Linked DNA regions of Xenopus tropicalis. The protein of the gene in region 5 interacts with the protein of the main gene of each other region in a pairwise test. Links are inferred from orthologs where the notes say so. Each region holds a gene or a part of one and is shown on either strand. Other genes may lie near its edges.

The links.
Region 1: the proteins of siah1 (region 5) and atn1 interact in a two-hybrid assay, tested with the Homo sapiens proteins (2 studies listed by BioGRID and IntAct). The link is inferred for Xenopus tropicalis from reciprocal best matches to the Homo sapiens genes SIAH1 and ATN1.
Region 2: the proteins of siah1 (region 5) and upp2 interact in binary tests that used the Homo sapiens proteins (3 or more experiments, as listed by UniProt). The two-hybrid records come from large-scale screens. The link is inferred for Xenopus tropicalis from reciprocal best matches to the Homo sapiens genes SIAH1 and UPP2.
Region 3: the proteins of siah1 (region 5) and inha interact in binary tests that used the Homo sapiens proteins (3 or more experiments, as listed by UniProt). The two-hybrid records come from large-scale screens. The link is inferred for Xenopus tropicalis from reciprocal best matches to the Homo sapiens genes SIAH1 and INHA.
Region 4: the proteins of siah1 (region 5) and tmem43 interact in binary tests that used the Homo sapiens proteins (3 or more experiments, as listed by UniProt). The two-hybrid records come from large-scale screens. The link is inferred for Xenopus tropicalis from reciprocal best matches to the Homo sapiens genes SIAH1 and TMEM43.
Region 6: the proteins of siah1 (region 5) and numb interact in a two-hybrid assay, tested with the Homo sapiens proteins (2 studies listed by BioGRID and IntAct). The link is inferred for Xenopus tropicalis from reciprocal best matches to the Homo sapiens genes SIAH1 and NUMB.
Region 7: the proteins of siah1 (region 5) and ube2k interact in binary tests that used the Homo sapiens proteins (3 or more experiments, as listed by UniProt). The link is inferred for Xenopus tropicalis from reciprocal best matches to the Homo sapiens genes SIAH1 and UBE2K.

What each region holds. Positions count from the first base shown.
Region 1 is NC_030683.2:9,482,384-9,486,510, forward strand, and holds the start of atn1 (atrophin-1), read right to left. Parts: upstream 2,801-4,127; 5' UTR 2,488-2,800; intron 1-2,487. UniProt on the Homo sapiens protein: Transcriptional corepressor. Recruits NR2E1 to repress transcription. Promotes vascular smooth cell (VSMC) migration and orientation. Corepressor of MTG8 transcriptional repression.
Region 2 is NC_030685.2:73,782,897-73,786,354, forward strand, and holds the end of upp2 (uridine phosphorylase 2), read right to left. Parts: intron 3,192-3,458; coding exon 2,982-3,191; intron 2,806-2,981; coding exon 2,659-2,805; intron 2,036-2,658; coding exon 1,896-2,035; 3' UTR 501-1,895; downstream 1-500. UniProt on the Homo sapiens protein: Catalyzes the reversible phosphorylytic cleavage of uridine to uracil and ribose-1-phosphate which can then be utilized as carbon and energy sources or in the rescue of pyrimidine bases for nucleotide synthesis.
Region 3 is NC_030685.2:84,993,279-84,997,218, reverse strand, and holds inha (inhibin alpha chain), read left to right. Parts: upstream 1-1,146; 5' UTR 1,147-1,392; coding exon 1,393-1,606; intron 1,607-2,232; coding exon 2,233-3,134; 3' UTR 3,135-3,440; downstream 3,441-3,940. UniProt on the Homo sapiens protein: Inhibins and activins inhibit and activate, respectively, the secretion of follitropin by the pituitary gland.
Region 4 is NC_030680.2:132,943,348-132,946,847, reverse strand, and holds part of tmem43 (transmembrane protein 43), read left to right. Parts: intron 1-562; coding exon 563-697; intron 698-1,137; coding exon 1,138-1,232; intron 1,233-2,641; coding exon 2,642-2,691; intron 2,692-2,938; coding exon 2,939-3,008; intron 3,009-3,500. UniProt on the Homo sapiens protein: May have an important role in maintaining nuclear envelope structure by organizing protein complexes at the inner nuclear membrane. Required for retaining emerin at the inner nuclear membrane.
Region 5 is NC_030680.2:74,034,912-74,039,177, forward strand, and holds the start of siah1 (E3 ubiquitin-protein ligase SIAH1), read left to right. Parts: upstream 1-1,466; 5' UTR 1,467-1,675; exon of another isoform or gene 1,676-1,816; intron 1,817-3,133; exon of another isoform or gene 3,134-3,168; intron 3,169-4,266. UniProt on the Homo sapiens protein: E3 ubiquitin-protein ligase that mediates ubiquitination and subsequent proteasomal degradation of target proteins.
Region 6 is NC_030684.2:106,105,818-106,108,087, reverse strand, and holds the end of numb (protein numb homolog), read right to left. Parts: coding exon 1,656-2,270; 3' UTR 501-1,655; downstream 1-500. UniProt on the Homo sapiens protein: Regulates clathrin-mediated receptor endocytosis. Plays a role in the process of neurogenesis.
Region 7 is NC_030677.2:36,220,661-36,224,876, reverse strand, and holds the start of ube2k (ubiquitin-conjugating enzyme E2 K), read right to left. Parts: upstream 2,801-4,216; 5' UTR 2,690-2,800; coding exon 2,627-2,689; intron 1-2,626. UniProt on the Homo sapiens protein: Accepts ubiquitin from the E1 complex and catalyzes its covalent attachment to other proteins. In vitro, in the presence or in the absence of BRCA1-BARD1 E3 ubiquitin-protein ligase complex, catalyzes the synthesis of 'Lys-48'-linked polyubiquitin chains.

The DNA.
Region 1 (4,127 bases), on a different chromosome or scaffold from region 5:
ATATACCATTGTTTGTCACGCCGGCACGTACGGGCCTCTCAGTGTGCCACTTCCATGCGCAGACTGGCACCTCACCTGCACAGGTACTGCCCTCTGGCACTGTAGCACCTACACATGGGCACCCTGCCCTACTGCATATCATTGCAATGCCCAGAGCTAGTGGCATATTAAAGCATAATGTTATATATAGTGTTAGTAATACTGTTAGTAATACTGTCCCCCCCCAGCAAAGCTCCAGTGCTGCCCAATAAATACCCATCTGCACCCACCAGCGGGCACCACTATATCCATATGTAACAGCACGACTCCCCCACCATGGCCAGAAGCGATGCAGCAGAACCAGCACAAAATAACCCACACCAGTCCCCCCCCACTGGACGCATCAGAACCCCCAAATAGCAAGGAGAACCCCCAACAATGTCTTCATCGTACTCCAACAGCATCTCAGAATCCCCACACTGGGCCCACTTGTGCCTTCCAGAAGCCAAGGGCTACAACTTCTAGCATCCCCTCAGTGAGGGTGCTGGGATGACGATGCTGGGAGTTGTAGTTCACAGCAGCAGCTAGCATCACTGGGGGGGGGGGGGCGCTGAGGTTGCTGGGAGTTGTAGTTCACAGCAGCAGTGAATATCCCTCGGGGGGGCTGAGGTTGCTGGGAGTTGTAGTTCACAGCAGCAGCTAATATCCCTCGGGGGGGCTGAGGTTGCTGGGAGTTGTGGTTCACAGCAGCAGCTAATATCCCTTGGGGGGGCTGAGGTTGCTGGGAGTTGTAATTCACAGCAGCTGCTAGCATCCCTGAGGGGGGGGGCTGAGGTTTCTGGGAGTTGTAGTTCACAGCAGCTGCTAGCATCCCTGAGGGGGGGCTGAGGTTGCTGGGAGTTGTAGTTCACAGCAGCAGCTAATATCCCTCGGGGGGGCTGAGGTTGCTGGGAGTTGTAATTCACAGCAGCTGCTAGCATCCCTGAGGGGGGGGCTGAGGTTGCTGGGAGTTGTAGTTCACAGCAGCAGCTAGCATCACTGGGGGGCTGAGGTTGCTGGGAGTTGTAGGTCATAGCAGCTGCTAGCATCACTGGGGGGGCTGAGGTTGCTGGGAGTTGTAGGTCATAGCAGCTGCTAGCATCCCTGAGGGGGGGCTGAGGTTGCTGGGAGTTGTAGTTCACAGCAGCAGCTAATATCCCTCGGGGGGGCTGAGGTTGCTGGGAGTTGTAGTTCACAGCAGCAGCTAATATCCCTCGGGGGGGCTGAGGTTGCTGGGAGTTGTAGTTAGCAGCAGCTGCTAGCATCCCTGAGGGGGAGGCTGAGGTTGCTGGGAGTTGTAGTTCACAGCAGCTGCTAGCATCACTGGGGGGGATGACAATGCTGGGGGTTGTAGTTCACATCAGCGCCAGGACTGACAGCTTGACATTTTGCCATCAATACTAACACAGCAGAGTCACACAAAGTTTCTGCCAATAGGTTTCAGTGAATTAAGTGCAAGCTCCACAGGTTAGACATTCAGCCTCCTACCCACACACTGAAGTGCAAGCTCTGGGGGTTAGGGGCCACATCTGGCTCATTGCTCTATCCCTCCCCAGCCTCCCCTTCTCCCTCTCTGTACTGCGCAGCTGGGTATGTTAGCGCTACAGGGGGGCAAGTCATCCCCACAGGAGGGGGGGTGTGAGTGTGAGTGTATGTGTATGTGAGTGAGTGTGTGTATGTGAGTGTATGTGTATGTGAGTGTGTGTGTATGTGAGTGTGTGTATGTGAGTGTGTGTGAGTGTGTGTGTGTGTGTGTGTGTGTATGTGAGTGTGTGTGAGTGTGTGTGTATGTGAGTGTGTGTATGTGAGTGTGTGTGAGTGTGTGTGTGTGTGTGTGTGTGTGTGTGTGTGTGTGTGTGTGTGTGAGTGTGTGTATGTGAGTGTGTGTATGTGAGTGTGTGTATGTGAGTGTGTGTATGAGTGTGTGTATGTGTGTATGTGAGTGTGTGTGTGTGTATGTGAGTGTGTGTGTATGTGAGTGTGTATGTGTATGTGAGTGAGTGTGTATGTGAGTGTGTATGTGTATGTGTATGTGAGTGAGTGTGTATGTGAGTGAGTGTATGTGTATGTGAGTGTGTATGTGTATGTGTATGTGAGTGTGTATGTGAGTGTGTATGTGAGTGTGTGTATGTGTATGTGAGTGAGTGTGTATGTGAGTGAGTGTGTATGTGAGTGAGTGTGTATGTGAGTGAGTGTGTATGTGAGTGAATGTGAGTATGAGTGTGAGTGTATGTGAGTGAGTATGAGTGTGAGTGTATGTGAGTGAGTATGAGTGTGAGTGCATGATCAGTAGGTATAGGCGCCCATGTCACACTGTCAGTTCCCGGCAGGGAGCATATACACGCATGTGAGTGTGTGAGTGAGTGTGTGAGTGAGTGTGAGAGTGAGTGCATACGTGTGTGGGTACATCCGTGTGAGTCTGTGCGATTGTGTAGCAGAAGGATCGCGATGCAGCGCGGAGTCACCCACCTAACAAGGGAGGGAGTCCGGTCCCGTAAGTCTCCGGTAGGTGCGTTAGAGAGGCAGGCGGGGAGAGGCTGTCAGTCCGGGGCCAGGCGGCGGCGGCAGACGGGTAGGGAAGCCGGAGCGGAGCATTGTGCCTCAGGGCGAGGGGGGGAATAGGGGGGAATAGAGGGGGGGGGAAGCGGCCGCACAGCCGAACAGGCGACAAGGGGGGAAATAAGATTTTTTTTCTTTTTCTCTTTTTTTTTAATCCGTTGTGCAGAGAAAATCCTACAAAAGAGGAAAATTTTTTACCTCCTCTGCCCCCCTCCCTCCTGCACTGCTCCCTCCCTCCCCCTCCTGCTGGCTCCTCCCCCTCCCCGGGCACCGCCCTCTCTTGCCTCTGTCTGTCCCTTCCCTCCTCTCTCTCTCATTCCTCCCTCTCCTGCTCTTCCCATTAGATGTGAGGGGGGAGAGAGAGCCAGACAGTCAGAAAGGGAGAGAGAGTGAGGGGGGGAGGGGGTAGGAGACAGACTTCTGAGCGATTTCATAGCTGGTGGGGAAAGTTCTCCCTCAGCTCTGTGTGTGCAAATGGCTCCCCCAGCCTATGTGGCCCTGTGTGTGTGCAAATGGCTCCCCCAGCCTATGTGGCCCTGTGTGTGTGCAAATGGCTCCCCCAGCCTATGTGGCCCTGTGTGTGTGCAAATGGCTCCCCCAGCCTATGTGGCCCTGTGTGTGTGCAAATGGCTCCCCCAGAATATGTGGCCCTGTGTGTGTGCAAATGGCTCCCCCAGCCTATGTGGCCCTGTATCTGTGCAAATGGCTCCCCAGAATATGTGGCCCTGTATCTGTGCAAATGGCTCCCCCAGCCTATGTGGCCCTGTGTGTGTGCAAATGGCTCCCCCAGCCTATGTGGCCCCTGTGTGTGTGTGCAAATGGCTCCCCCAGTCTATGTGGCCCTGTATCTGTGCAAATGGCTCCCCTAGCCTATGTGGCCCTGTATCTGTGCAAATGGCTCCCCCAGCCTATGTGGCCCTGTGTGTGTGTGCAAATGGCTCCCCCAGCCTATGTGGCCCTGTATCTGTGCAAATGGCTCCCCCAGCCTATGTGGCCCTGTGTGTGTGTGCAAATGGCTCCCCCAGCCTATGTGGCCCTGTGTGTGTGTGCAAATGGCTCCCCAGCCTATGTGGCCCTGTATCTGTGCAAAATGGCTCCCCCAGCCTATGTGGCCCTGTAATCTGTGCAAATGGCTCCCCCAGCCTATGTGGCCCTGTGTGTGTGTGCAAATGGCTCCCCCAGCCTATGTGGCCCTGTGTGTGTGTGCAAATGGCTCCCCCCCAGCCTATGTGGCCCTGTGTGTGTGTGCAAATGGCTCCCCCAACCTATGTGGCCCTGTATCTGTGCAAATGGCTCCCCCAGCCTATGTGGCCCTGTATCTGTGCAAATGGCTCCCCCAGCCTATGTGGCCCTGTGTGTGTGCAAATGGCTCCCCCAGCCTAATGTGGGCCCTGTGTGTGTGCAAATGGCTCCCCCAGCCTATGTGGCCCTGTGTGTGTGCAAATGGCTCGCCCCAGCCTATGTGGCCCTGTATCTGTGCAAATCCCCCCTATGTGGCCCTGTGTGTGTGCAAATGGCTCCCCCAGCCTATGTGGCCCTGTGTGTGTGCA
Region 2 (3,458 bases), on a different chromosome or scaffold from region 5:
AAAACAAACAGTTGGTTTGCAGGGAATCATCAGGGAGGTGTGACACCTCCCTCTCCCCACATGCATCAATGGACGGCATTGCTCAACTAGACTTTATATACTGCATAATGTACCCCCTATTGTAAAATATAAGGATAGAGGTATTCTGTGACCATATAAAAGCATGAGGCCGAAGGGCGAGTGCTTTTATACAGGTCACGTAATGCAGAGGTGACCTCTAACATCCTGATATTTTACACCAGGGGTACTAATTAAATACACACGTTTAAGTGAGTCATGTGACAGAAATTATGTCACTAAGCACCATTTGATGACATCACTAAGCACCGTTTATACAGGATAGTCATGGCTTTTGTGTATTATATTACTATATTTTATGAAATGTAATCATTGTTTTGATAACGAATCAGAGTAAGTCCTGTTTTAACTACTGATTGGTCTTTGTCTTTGGATTCAGGACAGTTCTACTTGTATTATAAACAGAAAGTGGACTCATTGACTTACAATTGGAAATGTAATAGAATAAATACAAATTAATGTGGGAAACATTAACATCTCAGTAACCTTAGAGAGCAATTGAACAGTTGAGAGAAAGACTCCTCTTTAGGCACAAGCTGGCCTGGCGCTCAGTTGAGCTGTTGTTAAGCTATAGAGCTTATAGTGTCCATCACAGAGGACAGTTAAATGGATCCTGCAGCTGCTGTGGAACCCAAGGCAGTCACCAAGGGGTCTGACCCCCAAGGCCTGATATGCACCATTTAGTACCAGTCAGTATGTCACAGTGAGACCCCTTATACCCCTCTCTACAGGAGCCAAAGTGTGGATGACAGCCCTGGCAGAACCCATTCTGGAATTACTTTTTTTCAGCATGAAGCCTGGCTGGGCCCCAAGATGCAGATTTTTATGAATGGGTCTGTGTCGCAGATCTTAAGCTTGTCTTTGCTGAGAGGACTTGTGATTTTAGTGAAGCTGTAGCACAGGAAGATCAGATCACTTGAAAATTTAGGGACATGTCTAGAAAATCCAGTCAGCAGGGCTGAACTGATTGCAGTTTAATTTACAGGTGATCAGTGCTGTCCTGAAACATTTTTTTTTAGAAATGTCCCTGAATTTTCAAGTGCTCTGGTCACCTTATTGTAGGAGCCGTCGATGATCAAACATCTAGCCAGTTATAATGATTGCACTTCCAATAAGGTCATGTCACAGGGGAAAGGGGGGAGTGTCATTTACTGCATCAAAACCCCAATACTGCAACGTTTAAGCTTACTAACGAGGGTTAATGTTAGTCTTGTCTTTTTGATTACTCAGCATGGAAGGCAGGCAACTGATCCTTAGGCAACGTGGCATGCAAGACCAGTCCCTTGCTTAGAGCAGTCAAGCATAGGGTGACCAGATCACATAAAAATTTAGGAACAAGTCTAGAAAATCCAATCAGCAGGGCTGAACTCATTGCTGTTTAATTTAAAGGCAATCAATGCTACCCAGCAACATGTATTTTTTAGACATGTCCCTTCAAGTGCTCTGGTCACCTCAAAGCAAGCAAAGATTGCCATGTTAGCCCAATGCTTGCATTAGCCTTTTTAGATATTCTTATTCAATGCATCTTGCTGGCAGCTTGCTTCTTTAATTCTTCCTCCTGGATTACTCCCACCCCTTTAATTATCAAGCCAATTGAAAAAAAAAAAGCTGTTTGAAAAGTTCCTAATGGCACAGGGATCTGCAAATATTTACCTGCATTGTGAAATGGCTTCAATAAAGGGTTAATTAGAGCAGGCCTATGGCATCATAAACAGCCCAATAGCGTTAGACCTTTATGTATTTTTGCGTAGAATTATTTTTTTTTCTTGCACCAATTCAAGTCCATAAGGAGTCGTAATCATTGGTGGGAGTGACTTTTAACTTAAGTTCAGTTGTTTCTTGATGTACTCTGCGATCAGCTGCTGGGGGCGCTTCTGGTATTCTATCAGCGTGTCGTGGCTTTCTGCGATCTGGTCTCCTTCTAGTCTGTTGAGGAGCGTCACGCAGACAACTGCAGCTGGAACAGGAAGGGTTTCTATAGGTTACTTATGTTTTTTTTTTTCTATACAAAGCACCGTTTTCTAAAAACAATCGGTTTCCCTAAAGCAGAATGTACAGCACGGCCTCCCGAGGGCACAGATGTTCTTTCCAGACTCCTGTCGGTAAATACATGTCTATATAGACAACAGGAGCTGACATATTGCTTACCTAGCCTCATGAACATAATCTGAAACCACACTATCCATGTATGACCACTAGGTGGTGATGTGGAGAAGGCCTAAGGAAGGGCAAACTGGCTGTTGCTACTCAGTTAAGGTGACCAAAGCACTTGAAAATTCAGGGACAAGTCCAAAAAATACATGGTGGGGGAAACTGATTGCCTTTAAATTAATGTTCATGGATTTTCTAGACGTGTCCCTGAATTTTCTCTGGTCACCCTATACTTAATAATAAAGAATTGCCCTGATCCATCTAACGATGTCTATTTGGAGAGCAAGAATGTTAGTGGACATATTAAAGGGAAAATAATGAAAAGATGAAGCTACAGAATATTTTGCCTATGGTTTTGGCAGCTAGAATATGGGTTTGCAGACAGAGACCCATTCCCTGGCAAGCAATGCTTCAATGCAAGCAATATACCTTTAAGCCCACAGAGTTGGCACATTGCAGCAAACACAGTCGACTCCATCTCTATGTTGCGGACTCCTGCAGTGAAAGCTCTCTGAAGATACTCAAACTTTTCCTCTTTAGAGAATGAGCAGAGTGCCCCGTCCAGTCGCCCCTGACCTAAGGAATAAAGGACTGTTATACAGACCACATTTCTTCATACAAAGCAATGATTCTCGACTGCCAAGAGCCTGATGTCTCAAGCAAAACAAAACCATACGCTTATGATCACACAACAAATGGCTGTAACGGAGAAGCAATGCTCATACTCTTCCAAAACACATGTATAATGGTACCTTCATAAAAGTCGTAGGTGCACATCGTGTGGCCGATAATCGTGGGGAAACTTGCAATCTCCTTACTGCACTGCAGCAGATCTTCAGCGAGCTCTCTGTGAAGGTCAGTGTTTCTAACAACCACTTTGTCCAGAACAACCTGCTCAAACTGAGGCCGGAAAAATGAATCCACTGCTACGTCTGTGATCACCACTGTCCCGGGTTCAATGCCTGTAAGAGACGGAAACAACACATTGCGTAAGCAGCTTGTCATTGGGTTAGAACAAATCTCAAATCCAAACGTGGGCTAGATAAGAGCATGGAATAGGGCCTTTCCCATGATTCCACCCTGGATTCCATGGCTTCTGTTAGTTGGGCATATAATTCAGTTTAAATAAGGTGCCTTGCTGTAATATGAAAAATGATGAGGTATTTATACAAAAACTGAGAAAAACTTACCAGAAATGGTGCCAGTGGCCTTCTGGAATTGTTATTGGC
Region 3 (3,940 bases), on a different chromosome or scaffold from region 5:
TGTAGGCCAGACCGGGGGTGAGTGTAGGCAGACTGGGGTGAGTGAGTGTAGGCCAGACCGGGGATGAGTGAGTGTAGGCCAGACTGGGGGTGAGTGAGTGTAGGCCAGACCGGGGATGAGTGAGTGTAGGCCAGACTGGGGGTGAGTGAGTGTAGGCCAGACCGGGGATGAGTGAGTGTAGGCCAGACTGGGGGGAGTGGTGGCCAACGGGATGAGTGTAGGCCAGACTGGGGGTGAGTGAGTGTAGGCCAGACTGGGGGTGAGTGAGTGTAGGCCAGACTGGGGGTGAGTGAGTGTAGGCCAGACGGGGGTGAGTGAGTGTAGGCCAGACCGGGGGTGAGTGAGTGTAGGCCAGACCGGGGGTGAGTGAGTGTAGGCCAGACCGGGGGTGAGTGAGTGTAGGCCAGACTGGGGGTGAGTGAGTGTAGGCCAGACTGGGGGTGAGTGGCAGCTGGGGAGTGAGTGTAGGCCAGACTGGGGGTGAGTGAGTGTAGGCCAGACTGGGGGTGAGTGAGTGTAGGCCAGACCGGGGGTGAGTGAGTGTAGGCCAGACCGGGGGTGAGTGTGACGCAGTTGGGCAGCTGGAAGTATATTGCAATTGTATTTAATGCTCCGACTTTTCCCCTTTAAAAAGCCTTCAAATATGTCATCTATTTGTTGAAATTCCCTTTGCACCAATTTCACAAACGAGTCTCTGTGCTCGGAATTCTCTCCATATTGTGCAGAAATACACTGAATACGCGGCCGGTCCCTGGGCCGGTGATGGGGACGTTCGGTAGCCGCGCTCCATCTGGCCAGTGCTATAGAGACATGGAGCCCAGACCCTCAGTAAGGTGGGGTTGCGCTTGGCACTGATGGGCACGGAGCTAAATTACCCGCGTGGGGCTCATTGTTCATCATCCTCCTTGTTGAACTACAGTTCCCAGCATCCTCCGAGACCCGACTTGCACCCCTTACACCCGGTGTTGGTAGGAGCACCTCAAGGCCTCGGCAGATGGCGGCGTGGGTGTTCCCGTGTGAAACGGCCCTGGGCAGCTTTGTCTCTGGGGCACATTACATTCCAAGCATCTACTGCAGATAATGCTCCGTGTGTGCCCAGCGCCTGCTCCGTGCCAACTCTGATAACGGACAAAAGACCCGTCTGTAGGAAGACAGAGAGACATCCACACACAGGCAGAGACATCCAGAGAGAGACCAGAGTTCTGATATTCAAGGGGAAGTAAAGAGTAGGTGAAGATTTCCCCAACTGGGCACCTGGAATAATTGCCAAGGAAGAAGAAAACCAAATATTGAGGGTATTGAGACCCCATCAAGCTCACAATGACCTTGCTATTTCTAACATGGCTTCTGCTGGTGAGCCTGAAGTGCCCTACTCTGGGGCAAAGCTGTGACATGCCTGAGGGAGATCGCCAGCTTCTTCTGGCCAAGGTGAAGGAGCAAATTATAGAAGCACTTGGGTCACCTCCACCTCAACCCACCAATTCCTCCCCAACACCATCTGCTTATCTTGAGGGGCCCGTGCAGAGAATGCTACACAAGAGGCACAGCAAGAGGCATCAGGACAACATGGAGGATGTCTCCCAAGTCATTCTCTTCCCTTCCTCAGGTAATCATGGGTGTTTAATATTTCATGGGTGCCATGGTGGGTTCTTGCCAAAGGCCAAGAGGTTAGAAGATCTAGGGTGGAGAGGGTAGTGGTGGAACTGGAGACCTTAGAGTAGATTCTATAGGTTAGAGCAGAGATGTCCAACCTGTGGTCTTCAGCTATTGTCCAACTATAACTCCCACATCCATGGACATCCATGCTATTGGGGCCCAAGTACCTTCAACACCAGGGGATCCAAATGAGCTTTGGGAATTAGCTTTGTGACCCAAAAATTGACTTTTTTTTTTCTATTCGGCCCATTAAATCGGAACTAGCACCCAAATTAAAAAAAAACTTGATTATTGGACATTTTGGGGACTCCTTGGTTTTTGCATTGATAAAAGGAATTGCTGTGAATACAGTTTATCCATTACTGTTGGCGCTGTTCTGTTTCTGTATATGGAGGGGACTGGATACTGGTAGTGGTGAGAGGTGGTACTGCAGGCCACACAGTCTTTTTTTAAACTCCGCCCCCAAGAAGCGGTAGAATTCTGCATGACCATGGGAAGGAGAGCAGCTCAGGGAGAATGAGGTGCCTGGAATGGGGGAGATTCCTTGTAGAGCTCATTGGGTGCTTCTTGTTTCAGATGTCCTATGTGAAACCACCCAAACTGGCGCCAATGAAGAGGGTTCTGAAAACAGCTTCACCTACGTCTTCCGCCCTTCCCCCCACATCCGCACCCGGAGGGTCTCTGCAGCTCAGCTTTGGTTCTACACTGGCCACCCCGCCGCTGAAGAATCTGCCATGTTGAAAAACGTGTCCAGTTCTATGTCCGACCAGATGGGCGTTGAGCCAACGTTGGAGACTTTGGGCTCGGATCAGCTGCCCCCAAGCACTGGAGCTGCCCAAAAGCCACACGCGGTGACCGCTGCGCCCTTGGACGTGGCTACAGAGGTTGCAGACACTGTGGGACATGCAGTTGACCTCCAGGTGCTGTCGGAACATGAGCCGGTGACCGTGGCCACCACCAAGGTGCAACGTGTGGACGACTGGACCGTCTTTCACTTGGCCCCGGCTTTCCTGAACCTCGTCACAAGGGAGATATTTGTGCTCCTGGTTCACTGCCCAACGTGCCCATGTTCTGACCAGCCTGAGCACACCCCATTCATCACCTTCAGCACCCACCCCACCCAGCGTAACCGTCGCTCTGGGGTGCCTTGGTCCCCCTCTGCTCTGGAATTTCTGCAGAGGCCCCCGGAATCCGGAGCCGGAAGTGATCACTGTCACCGCGGTTCCCTCAACATCACATTTGAAGAACTGGGTTGGGGCCAGTGGATTGTGCACCCCGGCAGCTTCCAGTTCCACTACTGCCATGGCACGTGCTCGCCTACCCACGGCCTGACTCCAGCCCTCCACTGGGGGCACTGTTGCGCAGCTCTGCCCAGCACCATGAAGTCACTGAGAGTCACCACCACAACCGACGGAGGATTCTCGTACCGATATGAGACCGTCCCCAACATACTGACCCAAGACTGTGCCTGCAGCTGAGTATTAGCCAAGGAGGGGCTCAACTGGCCAAGTCCAAATGGAGACGCTTCCTGATACCTGGAATATTCTACAGAACTCCAGTGTCGGCTGAAGACCTTGGCTCTTATATTTCCCCTAATCCTTTGCACTAAGAGAACCAATACAACAGCTCCCACCCTGTATAATAAATCTAAACAGATAATGATACATACAGTGTAATAGTGAGGATTTGGGGCCACTTGTTGCCTTTCGGAGAATGGAGGTGACCGGGTTCATATAAAAAGTTTAATAATTATTCTGCCATTCAAATAAAAATGATATTTGGCACAAGGTCTGTTATTGGGTTGTGCTGTGTGGGGAACAGACTCAGCGGCTAGGGTATCTTTGTCTATGGGTATCTATGTCTATGGGTATCTATGTCTATGGTTATCTATGTCTATGGGTATCTATGTCTATGGGTATCTATGTCTATGGGTATCTATGTCTATGGGTATCTATGTCTATGGGTATCTATGTCTATGGGTGTCTATGTCTATGGGTGTCTATGTCTATGGTTGTCTATGTCTATGGTTATCTATGTCTATGGGTATCTATGTCTATGGGTATCTATGTCTATGGGTATCTATGTCTATGGGTGTCTATGTCTATGGGTGTCTATGGGTATCTATGTCTATGGGTATCTATGTATGTAATGGTAAAAGCCCCAGCTCCAGACCCAAAGGGTTTTTTCCTGCACTTTCCTGGCTGCCATCTTTTAAAATAAACCAAACTAAAGATGGGGTGTTGGCAGATCAGGGGCATAGTTAGGTGGGTCAGGGGCAGCTGGC
Region 4 (3,500 bases), about 59 Mb from region 5:
TTTGTAGATAGTGCCTGGGCCAGAATCAATTTAAGACCCCAGCATAACAAGGCAGGAATCCATCTTACTGCCCTGTGATCATAGATCCTCTTTAACACTTGGCTGGTGTACAGCCGTGGACCCACGAAAAGTGTTGTATCATAGTGTATGTTTTTAATGCTGGATCAATAACATGATGCAACTGAGAGAGAGATTGTAAAAAAGAATTTGATCCTAAACCTCAAACCTTCTCTTATCTCAGGTAGCAGTACCCCTGAAGTTACCAGGGCTGGCAAAAAGCCACTCCTGGTAACTTCAAGAGCCGAAATTCCGATTTTTTTAATTTGAAATTTCATCTTTCCTAGTGCAGAGAGCACTATTGCGCACTGTGCACTACCGATGTGGCCCCCTCCAACACAAAAAACCTAAGTGCGGAGGGGCAATTGGGGCAGAATCCCCTAGGCTGCCTCAGGGTGTCACTAGGGGCTGAAACACCCCTGTACTTAGCACTGCTCTACCGTATGTTCTGTTATCAGTCCCTTATCTGTATCTGGTAATGCCAATCTCTTTCTTGTTTTCTCAGGGCCGAGCTGTACAGACAGCAACTTCCCTTGATGAAGGGCTCTCCATTGTTGTTCCAGTGGGCAACATCCACTCAATAGACCATCAAAATGAAGCAAACCTGGTGCATTTGTCTGGAGCACTTCGGACTTCTAAGGTAGTCATTAGCATATAAATTAAACTTTAGTTACCAGTATAACCAGTACTTCACCAGGAAGGCAAAATAGTGACAAGCTGTGTTCTATAACCTTGGTGTGTCGTACCTGGTTTGGAGAACTCATACTGAACATTTTAGTCAGTCTGCCCTACTTCCACTGTTTCTTGCATAAGTAAAGAGAAATCTGCTTTTTCTGTGTTGATTTTTATTTCTAGTGTAGGTATCGGTGTATTCAGGTGTGTAATAAACATACACAGAGTCTGTGCACTACTGCTAATTGTGCTGCAAGATGGCCACCATTTGCATCTATATAAAATCTCATGTTCTGTGCTGCTTATCTTTTGATGTAATGATATGTTTTGACTTTAGAAACTCCTTACACCTATAGGACAGTGCAGTACTGATACACCTTCGGTTTTATTTTCCCTATCCCCATGTAGCCATTGTATGATCCAAATTATGGCGTTTCCATTCATTGTGTAAAGCTGAAGCGTCAGGTTGAAATGTACCAGTGGATTGAATATGAAGAATCAAGGTAAGATTCTATCTTCATTGCTGGACCCTGGATCAACATTGTACATTTGAAATATACTTATATTTTTTCTCTGGGGTCCTTGCCCAACAGGATTTTCAAACCTGCCAGATAGATACTTTTCTTGATTTTCACCCAGATATTGGTCAAGCAGTCCCAATCACCCCAAACGCAGGTCAATTATGTGTCAACTTGGTCTAGATGTGCCAAGTCTTCAGCTTGTATCAGCTCAGTTGTGTAACTCTAGAGGAAAGCAGACTCTGAGGTTGCAGGGGGGCCCAGACCACAGGCTCTGCTTTCTCTATAGGTCTAAGAAATCCCCCCTACCTACTTGGCGCGAGTGGCCGGGGAGCAGGGAACACTGGCGGCGGGTGAAAGGAGGGCTGGGTAGGTGTGCGCTGGGCCCCTCTGAAGATTGTTTTCTGCGAGGTGGGGGCCGCGTGTCGTTGTTATGCCGCTGTATCAGCCTATATATGCCCAGCATAAAAACTACTTGAAATTATTTTAGTAATTCGTTCATATCATATAATTTAAGTTGAAATAGTTACTTCGAATATGTGAGAGATATTTCTGACATACACAGTTTTGAATAGGCACACCAGAGTTTTTACAAACAGAATTTACTGTCAAACTGGCAGTTACATTTGCATGTCACACCTATATAAATATGAATTTATTTTGAAAAAGATTTTGGGCCTTTTTTTCATGTAAAATAAACAACCCAGGTGTTAACTAGAAATCACCTACCCTATTGCAGATTCCCTTCTGCTGAATTGCAGCACCTCCTGCTGGAATATTCTGGGTATTGCAGTTTATCCACAGCTACAAGCTTTATAGGAATTCTACTCAAAAGTTTTGGGTAGAGCAGTCTTTATTAGTGTGGGGATGCAAATAGTGGTGACTTCCTAGGTCCATAAAATATATGTGTATATATAATATTATTCGTTATTATATATATTAGTGATGAACGAATCTGTGTTTCGCTGAAAATTTTGCAAAACAGCAAGAAATTTGCCAAATGCATTGAAGTGAATTGGTAACACATTTTTTACGTGTGACAATTTTTTTTCTCATGTGCACAGTTTTTTTCTAACTCCAAATGCATTAAAGTCTGTGTTTTTTCTCACTTCTTCCCGCACCTTTTCATGCGCTCAACTTTTTTCTGATTCCAAATACAAAGTCAATTGGCATTTTTTCTCTGTGAACTTTTTGCCACAGCAAATTTTTGGTGGAGTTTTGTGAAAAAAAATTGCCTAAAAAATTGGCTAAAAAAAATGGCTAAATGCAGAATTTCGCTGTGAATCCATGCCGGGTGACAAAATGTGCTCATTACTATATTATCATATATTTTTTATTAACATCATTCATATTACATTAAGTTGTATTCAACTTTGTAAAACTCATATTTGCAGACAGTATGAAGAAAATGGAGAACAGAAAACAGAGACAAGATACACCTACAGTGAGTAGCTTTCAAAACTAGAATAGAAATAACAAATCCTTCTCCCAGTAAAAGTGGCTAATGCCATTGACTATTTTCATGGGATTTAAAAAGCTTGTTCCTTATTTAATCTGTTGCCATTACACTTAAGTTAGTGGCAAACTATACTCTTTAATGCTGAAAAGCCTAGAAAGAATACATAATGATTTAATTGCCTACCCTTGTTCTACTTTTTGTAAAATGACATTTAAGTAACTGTACTTCCTAGATACTGAATGGCGATCGGAAATTGTGAGCAGCAGGCATTTTGATCGAGAGATTGCGCATCAGAATCCCAGGTGAGTGGCACACAGTTTACAAAACCACAGAAATATCATTGGAAAAGTCAAATCCACTTGTTATCTATATTTCATTGTCTGTTCTTGCTACATGCTGATCTAATAGCCTACTGTATTGTAGGAGACTTGTATTCTTTGGAGATAAGGGTACTCCCTTTCCTTAATTATACTCATTAAATAAGTTACAGTAGAGACAAGGTGTCATCAACGAAAAGATAGAAGTGCTTGAGGGTTTGGATTTAGTTTTACCAAATATATAAATTTCCTGGCACCATAGACAAATTAAAATCCTTCTGGTTCTTTTCTTTTGATTGAGGGTGACAAGTGACCTCCGTTGGGAATCTGCACATTTTGTTCTGTATATTCTTACCCCAGTGGCTAACAAGCTTACGGAATGCCTACAGTGAGATGTGGAGAAACAGTGGGGCAAACAGTGATTTGTATGTTAAAAAAGTGGTGGAACAATAAATGTGTTGTCATAAAATTTCATTT
Region 5 (4,266 bases):
GTGCAGGAACCTGACATTTTACCAGGGGTGTGTAGACTTTTTATATCTACTGTATATAGTCATGGTACATTAATTTAATTTTCACTATGTTATATACTCAAAGTATATAGATATATGGTTATACCTTCAAACCAAAGGAAAGCTCCAACATAATAGCACTTTGTCAAATAGGCCAAATACAAAGGAAGCAGTAGCTATTAAATGGTATTCTCTTTTCTATCATAGGTTTAAAATCTTGCAATATATTACATGGGGATGCTCCACTGAAGTAAAATTGTTGCTGATTTTTGTATACACACTCCTCGTCTAGTTAGTTTTGAATCATATGAAATTTGGCAACAACGGGAACCAAATTTCCCAATTATCTTATATGTTTATGACATTATTGGGGTAAATTTCATTTTCCTTGTTTCTTCTATTGATTGTATCCATTCCCATTTCATTGGTGGAGGGTTTTTTCAATTTCCTAGGAACCAGTGTGCTTGCTGCTTGTAAATACTAATTTGTCTTGGACTATTCTTTTATTTACTCTAACAGAATAATGTTGATTCCATATTGTTGACATTATGAACACCTTTCTCCATCATGCCTCTGGCACTCAGAATACCATTTTTTTTAGACTGCTTAATATTTTTGGCACATGTGCATGTGAGACGTACAACGTGCTGGTGCGTTTTGTGCTCTTTTAACCCGGCACTTCTTCAGGCGACCTAAAAAACATTTTTTCCTAAAAGGATGTTATTTTTGCAATATATTATATGTATATCTATCTATATATATATATATAGAGAGAGAGAGAGAGAGAGAGAGAGAGATACACAAGACATACATTAAGACCATTGATTGCAAAAACATGGTCAGTGATGTCAACTCCATATTATAACTATGGGGCTTCCCTAGTGAGCAGGGCCTGAGGGCCAGTTAGGGCCCAACTGGGACAGATGTCTTTTTGCTCTTCTAATAATTCCTTGAGATCAGTTAGGGTGGGATTTTAAGTAGTCACTGGCTTACTGTCTTAGATATTACTGGAAACGTGGCTTTGATTAAGGCCCCGACCAAATGTTGCACCTTATTGAAATACCCTTAAAAATGTATTACACGATACTAATTCAGTCCCGTTTTTTTTTATTATTTTTGCGTTACGCTAAGAGTTAACTTAAAATAATGAATCGAAAGTCCCTTCAATGGTTCATTTGTTCCATAAAGCAGTAAGGTTGGCAGGCATCTGCTAACGACGACCGAGAGAGTATATAGATTCTTACAGCAGAACAAGCAAACAATTGCCATTTACCCGTGCAAATTGTTGGTAGGCGTGGTATACGCAAGAGGGCGTGGCTTTCTGCTCGACCATCTGAGGGCAGCCTAATCCGTGGCGGGAGCGCGCCGTGTTAGCGCGGGAGCAGTGACGCCACTCTTTGTGCCCGCGCACGCTCGCTCCCTCTGCAGTGTCTTTCTGTGGAAGTAGGGGGGGTGCGCGCACTCGGAGTACGGGGGACGGCGGCAGCTCCACAGAGATAAGGAGTGGGAAGCAGACCCGGTAAAGGAGCCGTCTTACCGGCGATAAAGGATTTTGTGACCTATCTTCCGGTATCCTGTGAGTGCGATAATTGGTGCGTCACAGTGGAAGCCGAACAGGAAGCGGCATAATAGCAAAGCGGATTCCCTCCTGGGGAAGGTGAGCGCGGCCCGTGTTCTATGAGATGGCAACACTGCATCGGGAGCCAGGATAGCTAAGCCACGGCCCTTCGGCTTTTGTCGTACCATGCAGATCGGGGATGCTGGGAGTTATGGTAGAGCTACATTTGGAGGGCCGCAGGTTGGACTCCGACGCTGTGTATAAATCCTGTCTCTCAGGCGCCCATGGGATAATGCACGGCAGGAGGAGGGGGTGGGGGAGCCCATATTGCTGTGTATGTGGGGGAAGGGTTAATGGATGTTTCCTACACGTGTGGCTATGACATATGTTTGCATACAGAGAAAGTGGCTGGCTGCTGCAGACCCCGACCTTTCTCTATTTGTTTTGTGGCTTTTTATGCAAATAATGTTGGCAAAAGGATTATATGGGTGTCTGCTTATAATGGTATGACATGGCAGCCCCATTGCTGTGGGTTTCTGCTCTTTCTTTCCTTCTGTCAAATACTCCCACATTGCATCATCAGCCCTGCTGCACTTGCACCTTATGGGTGTTCGGTGTTGAAGTGGCAATCTGGCAGCTCTGTCTGGCTAATGTAAATAATCAACACACCCTAACCGCATCATCAGCCATTTGTTAACCCCGGTCATTGTCCCTGCCTATGTAGCAGCCTGTATTGTTGCTTCTAGTGTTATTGTCTTGTTGCCAAACCAAGGCCTGTGGCCTAATCCCTCCTGTGTGTTTTCCCCTCCCCCTTTCCTGATCTGTGTCCTAATTCCCCCCCCCCCCCCCCAGAGAGAAATCACTCGCACTATAGCTGCCTTCCGTTCAATTGTACAAATCAAGGGGGTGCTGCTTCTTGTTGCAGACAATGCTTTTTTTGTGGATGTAGTGACATGTGATAGTTGCTGTGTTGTGAATCCTGGCATTTATGAATCCCCCCCCCCCCAGCTCTTGTACTACAATTCCCAACATTTGGCTGGAGTTGTACACCTATTTACATTATTTCCTTGTTGCTTATTATGGTTTAACAACTAGAGGAGGGGTTTAAGCGGACACCCTTAATTTCTTTCTCATAATTAATTATTTTTCATAAACACATGATTTCCAAAACATCCAATGAGAGTTGCATCCTGGGAATAGCACGGATTTAAGTGTAAGAGATGATGATGATGTACCTAATGCACAGTATCCTAGTACTCCTGCCCACATGTCGAAAACAGCGGTATTCATGTTGAGTTCTTGCGATGTAAAGGAATTTTTCTTTACAAACATTTCAGTTGTTGAGTGGTTATACCCTCTCTTTCGATAGCAAGAGTTATCAGTGCAGCCGCTAAGTGTGATGCATCCGGTCATAGCCTTGGAGTTGTTGTAACTGAGGAAGCACAAATGATTTCATTTATAGGTGATTGTTCTGTTTACTGTTTGTGATGCTGCTTAATTACTATAAATGATGCAACATTTGTGGCTTAATGAATTAATCCTCTGTTTTTAGATTGTCTGTTCAACAGCACTCGGATACATGCTTCATTAGGGTACGCACCTTTATTGTATATCTCTTCTTCCTTATGCAGCTCATTTTAAAGATTAAGTGATAAAGATGAGATGCAAAATGGTGCTGCTAACACATTTTTTTTTTTTAATGCTGTATTGAAAATATTTTTTGCTTTAGAGCTTAGAAGCTACAAAAAGCAATACATTTCTTAGAGCTGGTGGGTAGGAAGTTGTGTTGAGGTAAGGGATCTATTTTTTGGATACCCATTATTCTAAAAGCGTTGACATTACACAGTTTCCTCCTCAAGCAGACGGTTACTCACTTTTGATGGATTTGCCTTTCCTCTGCAATAAGACTATAACTGTTACTTGATTTTAAGCTAGCATAAATCCATGTTGGAAATCAATTCTATTAGTTATTTAATGTTTAAAGTGTTTTAAACATAAGGCCATGGTGCCTCATAGTGATAAAACACCCCTTAACCTGGAAAACTCCAGAACTATGAATAATCAATATTAATTCTCAAATGTATTTCTCTTCTGGTGCCCTTTTCCATTTTGTTTACAGTGAGTTTGTATTAACTATTTGCCTAGTGTTTTGTATAGGGATGCATGGAAATTAGCAATTTGGTATTCGTCCGAATCCCTTAATTCTTGGGTATGGATTCACCCAAACCTGGAAGTTCCCAAAGATGAAGTTGGAAACACCGGTGTGCACGCTTCGTGTACAAGGCAAATTTTCTCCACCAGATTAATTTTGGCCAGACTGCTAAAAGTAGCCAATTCAGTGCATTCCTAGTTTTACTTAAGATTATATATTGTTTTTGTTAATCTCTTAAAAGGAAGAAGGTTGTTTAATAAAGAGCTCCTTATATGTAAAGTTGGAAAGGGCTGGCCATGTTTTAGGCTGAGGGTACACAGAGTGTTTCCTCTCCTGCTCTTAGCCTGAGTTTTTTTTTTTTCTGGTTTCGCATTTTCAGATCAATTCTTACTCTGCTCTACTTTGTGTAGCTGGGCAGAGGCGGAAGCTGCACTTGTCAATGCAGTTTTACTGAGGTGCATAAGGGAGCGGATCCACTTCTGAAATAAACACAGTTTTAGGTAGAAATACTCAACGTGTGCCTGCACCTGAGCGTATT
Region 6 (2,270 bases), on a different chromosome or scaffold from region 5:
AGCCAGAAATTCAAAAATAAGCTTTGAGGCCACTGGGAGCAATATCCAAGGGGTTGGTGAGCAACATGTCACTCACAGACCACTGGTTGGGGATCACTGCTTTAAAGCATAACATTTAACACAGGAAGACCGCACCACTTCTGTAGTTTATATCTTTCTTGTATTTTCTATTTCTTTTCCACTCATCTTTACTTTCCTCTATCATTACCTAGTCCTACCCCTACCCTCCCTCATTCCTTTCTATTCCTCAACATATACGATAGCCTCTTTCTAAGGTATCTATATTAGAAATAGATAAGATGTAAAGAATGTGGAAACAAAATTGTCTGAATGTAAAAGGCTATAAATGTATAATGTGAAGCTTTACTATCTTTTTGAAAATAAACGGATTTAATACAAAAAAAAAAACAAAAAAACATTTAACACAGAAAAGTAAAAAAAAAAACAAAAAAAAAAAAACTACAATTGGCCAAGCACAAGAAAACCACAAGAAAAGAAGCTTTTTTTCCACCACCAACATTTATTTGTTAAAGAAGACTGTAAATCAGTACAAATATACACATAGATGCGAAACCAACATTTACACATAAAGAAGAGAGTGTGTGCTTAGGATGATTTGAGGTATACAATAAAAAAAATAAAACTATGAATGAAAAGAATTTACAGAAACAGTGAAAGTCAATAATGAGAATGAAATAAAGTCTTCTGTGCATTAGATCATAGTGGTATTAAAAGTCTAAAACATATATATTAATATATATAATCATATATATTAATATATAAATATATATAAGTATACATATATAAAAACTCCAGCGGTATGCCAAAAAGAAACATTTATATAGAGAATATATATATCTTTCTTGTGTAATATCGGATTACAGGAAAGAAAATAGTCCGCTATGGCTGTTACACCATGCAATACTGCTCTTTCATTAAAAGTATAATAGAGATATTTCTCTTGGTCGTGATTGTTTAAAGCAATGTGCTACATACAAGGAAGGTGGCCTAAAGCGCATGAAAATAAAACCACAGCCAGTCCAGTTCTTTAGGAAATAGCAGCTAAATCTTATATACAATTAATGACAACTGAACTTTCCAGCTTCGTTTAACCTTTGGCAAGATTACTTACAAACTTATGAATTAACCCACGCTATTTAAAATATTTGTAATGCATAAAAATAAAGATTTTGGCTTGAGCCCTTTGCTGCCAGAGCGGGCTGCAATGCAATACTCAACAGTGTGCTCCAGCCCCCTTTGGCATAAAAGGCAGTTAAACATTTCCCCCCCACCCCCCTTTCAGTCTCCATACATATTTACACATATCTTTCAATATGGAAGCTCAGGCACTGCAGTGGTTCTGCAGAGAGTCATATCTCCAGTGGGCGGCCAGTTTTACTCCCGCCTTGCCATGACCACTGTCCAGGTTCGTCTCTGATTTTCTGTGCCAACGCAGGGTAGATGAGATCTGTGGGGATGGATATTCTTAATATTCCCACAGACCTCCATTGCAGTTACTGTCCAATGGAATTTTCATGCCCCCCCTCTTGGTCCTTTTATGTGTAATTCTAAAGAGATGGATTTGCAAGAAGAGATTTGGAATCCTTAAAACACTGCTACTCCTCACAGAGACTGTTTGCTTGTTCAGTCCAACTCTATAGTTCAATTTCAAAAGTCTTTTGAAGGTCACTAGAGAAAGGATTTGTAGGAGATGGGTTTGCACGTGGTCTAGATTTGCCTTCAAGAGCTGCCCATTGAGCTTCAAATGGGTCTACAGGAGGAGGGGCAGCTGGAGCTTGCTGGCTCTTAGCGCCCAATTCCCACCCACTACTTTCAACCCCATTAAAAGCAACAGAGCCATTCTGTTGCTGGGCAGGAGGCTTATAGAATGGACTGCTGGATGCACTGGATGCTTCATAAGTTGGATAGGTTTGCTGTGTGGCTAAATTTGGAGATGGCTTAGGCTGGAATACCTGTGGACTTGCAACTCCGAAAACATTAGCTACCATTTGAGAAGGGGTTATGCCAACAACTGGAACACTGGAAGCTGGGTAGCTCATTCCATTGGCTACAGAGTATGGTGGCTGCACAGGCATGAAGGGAGGGTGCAGACCTGGGACAACAGAGACAGGCATAGACTGTGAGGTCACATAAGCATTGGCCAGGTAAGGCTGGTTAGGCTGTGGTGCGGCAAGGGCAGGTTGTACCATAGGCTGAGTTGGGACTGCAGGAACTGGAGACTGTCTTTGCATGATTGTTTTGGATACTTC
Region 7 (4,216 bases), on a different chromosome or scaffold from region 5:
AAAATTACTTTAGAGTGTTATTCCCCTTTTAATAATTTACCAAATTCCAATAAATACACCAACAATAAAGAAAATGAAAATAAAATAAGGGGATATATTTTTCTACTAAGAAGTCAAGACAGCTTTTGTGGCTGCTTGTAGCCATAGCTGGACTTATCTATTTGCACAACTTGAGCAGACCCTCGTCAAAAAAAAAAGCAATGTGTATTACTAAATATCACTTAGTATCACTGAGATATTATGTGCATTCTAATCCAACTAGCTGCACCAGGTTCAGCCTAATAAAAGGTTCAGAATTTAAGGTGTCCATACATAGGGCAAATACTGGCTGCGATTCTTGATTGAGTCAGCAGGCTACTGACCCATCTGGCAGATCAAATACATTAGCCCTATGTCCAGGGCTAGGAGCTTCTGCTGCTCATGGAGAAAGTAAAATTGCAGAAATGACCACTAAAAACCTCTGGTGAACACTGCAGCTTAAGCTAAGTGAAGACAAACGGGGTGTAGTGCTGCATGTTATGATACTTTCTAAAAATCTTTTGTGGCCCTTGCTTAACCTAAAATAAATGGAGGACAAAGAAGAAATAAGCAATTACTTTATAACATTAGAAAATGTGTATTTCTTAATATGGTGAGCGATATTACTAATCCTAATTTGTAACTGCAACAATTTTTAGATGCAGCTTCTCAATGAATGGGCAGCACGCTGTCTCAAATGAAAGTTTCTCCATAAAGTGGCAGGAGGATATGCGGCAATGCCAGCCTTTGATCTAGCGCACACGAGAAAGTTACAGTTAACAAATTTGCACTCCACTGTTTCACAGAGTTACCCAGTGATTATGACCAGAAGCCACATATTTACCAAAGATTGAATCTAGAAGTCATCATAGTCTGCAAGAGTGAAATTCTGCTACTCTTTATACATTAATATGAAACTTTAGAGGGTATATTTATCAATACATATAAATGAGTTTACACTTTGATAAATATGTTTTCACTAATTGAATAGAAATTAATATAATGAGGGAAATTTCACTGTGGCTGACTATGGCAAGCTGTAGTTTAATACTTTGATAAATATCCCCCTTTGATTTCATTTCTGAAGTTTCACTGAATGGATTTCAAGGGCCATTAATAAGGAGAGAAAAAGTTGGAAGGGAGAGCCAGAGGGAACTGCAGTCTTTTCTACACAACTGTCCTACTTTTCCATGTCTCTAATACAATCCTTTAGTACCTTCTACATGACTCTAAACACTTCTGCAGCCCCACTCTATGGCAGTCTCTAATAAACTCCTGTCAAATCGTTCCAAGGCAGTCCCTAATACACTCCCATAAAAAAAACTCCATGGCAGCCCGTGATACACTCATGTCAAACCTATCCCTATCAATCTCTAACATACTTTTGTAGTAGTGATGAGCGGGTTGACCCACAACCTGCATTTTACCCTTAGGTCAGGCAGGTTAGGGTTGGGGGGTGTTGTGGGTTCAGGTTGGGTGTGGGTCAGACTAGGGAAGCACCTCTGCTCCTGAACTTTCCCTTCCTTGGAACCTAAGGCGAGAGCAGCAAACAATGTAGAAAGACGCAAGTACGTGTTTTAAATGCAAATCCTATATCGGCAACAATTTGTGGGATACGGTCAGTTGCAGGTTGACTTTTTCCTGACCCCCACACCACTATCTTGTAGTCTCTTCTGCAGTCCCTTTCCATGGCAGTCTCTACACAATCCTGTAGTCTCTTGATGGCAGTTTCCAATTCACTCCTATAGTACCTTTCCACGGCAGTCTCTAATACACTTCTGTAATTCTCCTCCAAAGCAGTCTCTAATACACTTCTGCAGTCCCTCTCCAAGGCAGTCCCTAATACACTTCTGCAGTCCGTCTCCAAGGCAGTCCCTAATACACTTCTGCAGTCCGTCTCCAAGGCAGTCCCTAATACACTTCTGCAGTCCCTCTCCAAGGCAGTCCCTAATACACTTCTGCAGTCCCTCTCCAAGGCAGTCCCTAATACACTTCTGCAGTCCCTCTCCAAGGCAGTCCCTAATACACTTCTGCAGTCCCTCTCCAAGGCAGTCCCTAATACACTTCTGCAGTCCGTCTCCAAGGCAGTCTCTAATACACTTCTGCAGTCCCTCTCCAAGGCAGTCCCTAATACACTTCTGCAGTCCGTCTCCAAGGCAGTCTCTAATACACTTCTGCAGTCCCTCTCCAAGGCAGTCTCTAATACACTTCTGCAGTCCCTCTCCAAGGCAGTCCCTAATACACTTCTGCAGTCCGTCTCCAAGGCAGTCTCTAATACACTTCTGCAGTCCCTCTCCAAGGCAGTCTCTAATACACTTCTGCAGTCCCTCTCCAAGGCAGTCTCTAATACACTTCTGCAGTCCCTCTCCAAGGCAGTCTCTAATACACTTCTGCAGTCCCTCTCCAAGGCAGTCTCTAATACAGTCAAGTAGTCCCTCTCCCTATCAGTCTCTAATACACTCCAATAGTCCCTCCCCATGGCATGCCTGGCTGTGGCAGCCTTCTATACTACCTCTTTAGAGCAGTTTACTGGATTTATCTTAAGCACACTGTCACCAATTGTTGCCCCTCATTGTATATAGCCAGACGCACTTCTGTCTCCTCTCACCTCTTCGCTTTTGAGCACCTCCTTGAACTCCCTTTTGATCCTCTGTGCTGCGATGTTCGCCATAATTGCCCCAGTTTCCGTACTTGACTGAGTCACCTTAAATTGCTGCAGTGCACGTTAAGTACGCCAGGCTTCCTCCCTCCGTGCAGTGCCGGCCCTGTGTGCTCTGCCTCCCCCGCCCCGCACAACGAAACCTAGCACAACAGTACACTGCAAAATGGCGAACCTGACACATGCGCAATACAAGAGTCTGGGCGGCCCACAGGAAGAACTTCCTGACAGGGTCCCTGCTCACGTCACTTTGGCCCGCCCCACAAATGAGACGTAACAGCGCGCCACAGAATCCCCGGGCTCCATTCATGCAGGGCTCAGTCACGTGATGTGTCACTGGACCCCAGCGCTAAACAGAAGAGTCGTGCAGTGTTGTAAAGTTTGGCTTTAGCAGCAGATTTCTATGAAACCAAAGGTCGTAGCCTGCCAGAGCTATGCAATTCTTATTAGAGGATGGGCTGACTACCTGCCCCTAGTAAGCATTTGTCTCAGCAAAATAGATATGCCACAACATGCATTAGTCACCTGACTCGTATTGGAAATCCAGAAGTTCCTGCTTAGTCTGCTGTATGGGAACTTTTTGTTCTCTTCCTTTTCAAAAGTCCTATGACTGGTCATGACCTACATCTGTTATCTAGAAAAAAAATAAAGCAGGGGCATAACTACAAAGGAGGCAGACCATGTGGTTGCAGGGGGGCCCTGGAGTGTAGAGGGCCCAGTAAGGGCCATGACACATAGGGAGATTAGTTGCACCACAACAAATGCCATCCCGTGGCATACACGGCACTGCGATATGCCGAAGTCACCGACATTTCCTCTCAAGGCGACTTTGGCAAATGGCGGCGCTGCGTATGCCATCCTACCGCTGATTTACATTGTAGCCGGTGGGATGGCATTGCGGGGAGATTAGTCGCCCGCAACAACAGAGATTTGTCATGGCAGCTCTAATCTCCCTGTATGTCACGGCCCTGAATAGTGAGCAGTTTTACTATATCTTGATAGGATAGGTCAATTTACCAACGATTTGGGCCCCTAAATTGAATTCTTTTGGGACAAGTGACATCTATTCATGCCACTGGTTGTGTGCATTTTCCTAAGCAGAGATGCTATCTGGATAATATAGCAAAGGCCAGCCAGTTAAATGATACATGCCACTACAGTTATTAAAGGACAAGGAAAGGCTAATACCTTGGGTGGTGCCAGTTACTTAAAATAAATGCACCACCAGAGATACCTTGTGCCTCGATTTGAATTCTATATCTGTATATCCATAGTTCAGTTAATTTTCTGGCTTAAAGGGGTGCTGCTCATCCCAAAAGAAATTACCTTTAAATAGTAACACCTTTTACAATGTGTCATTATGGCTTAATTTTGGCGGAAAATTAAAAGCCACCATTCTTAATTTAAAAGGTATTTTCAAATGCTTTAGAGACTTGGGACTGATTATGTGACATAAAGTCTTTATGATACCATAGCGGTCATTCTTGACCCCAGGGGACAAAGTGCAAGAGCACTAAAGGGCGCAAGAGTGGCTTTAGA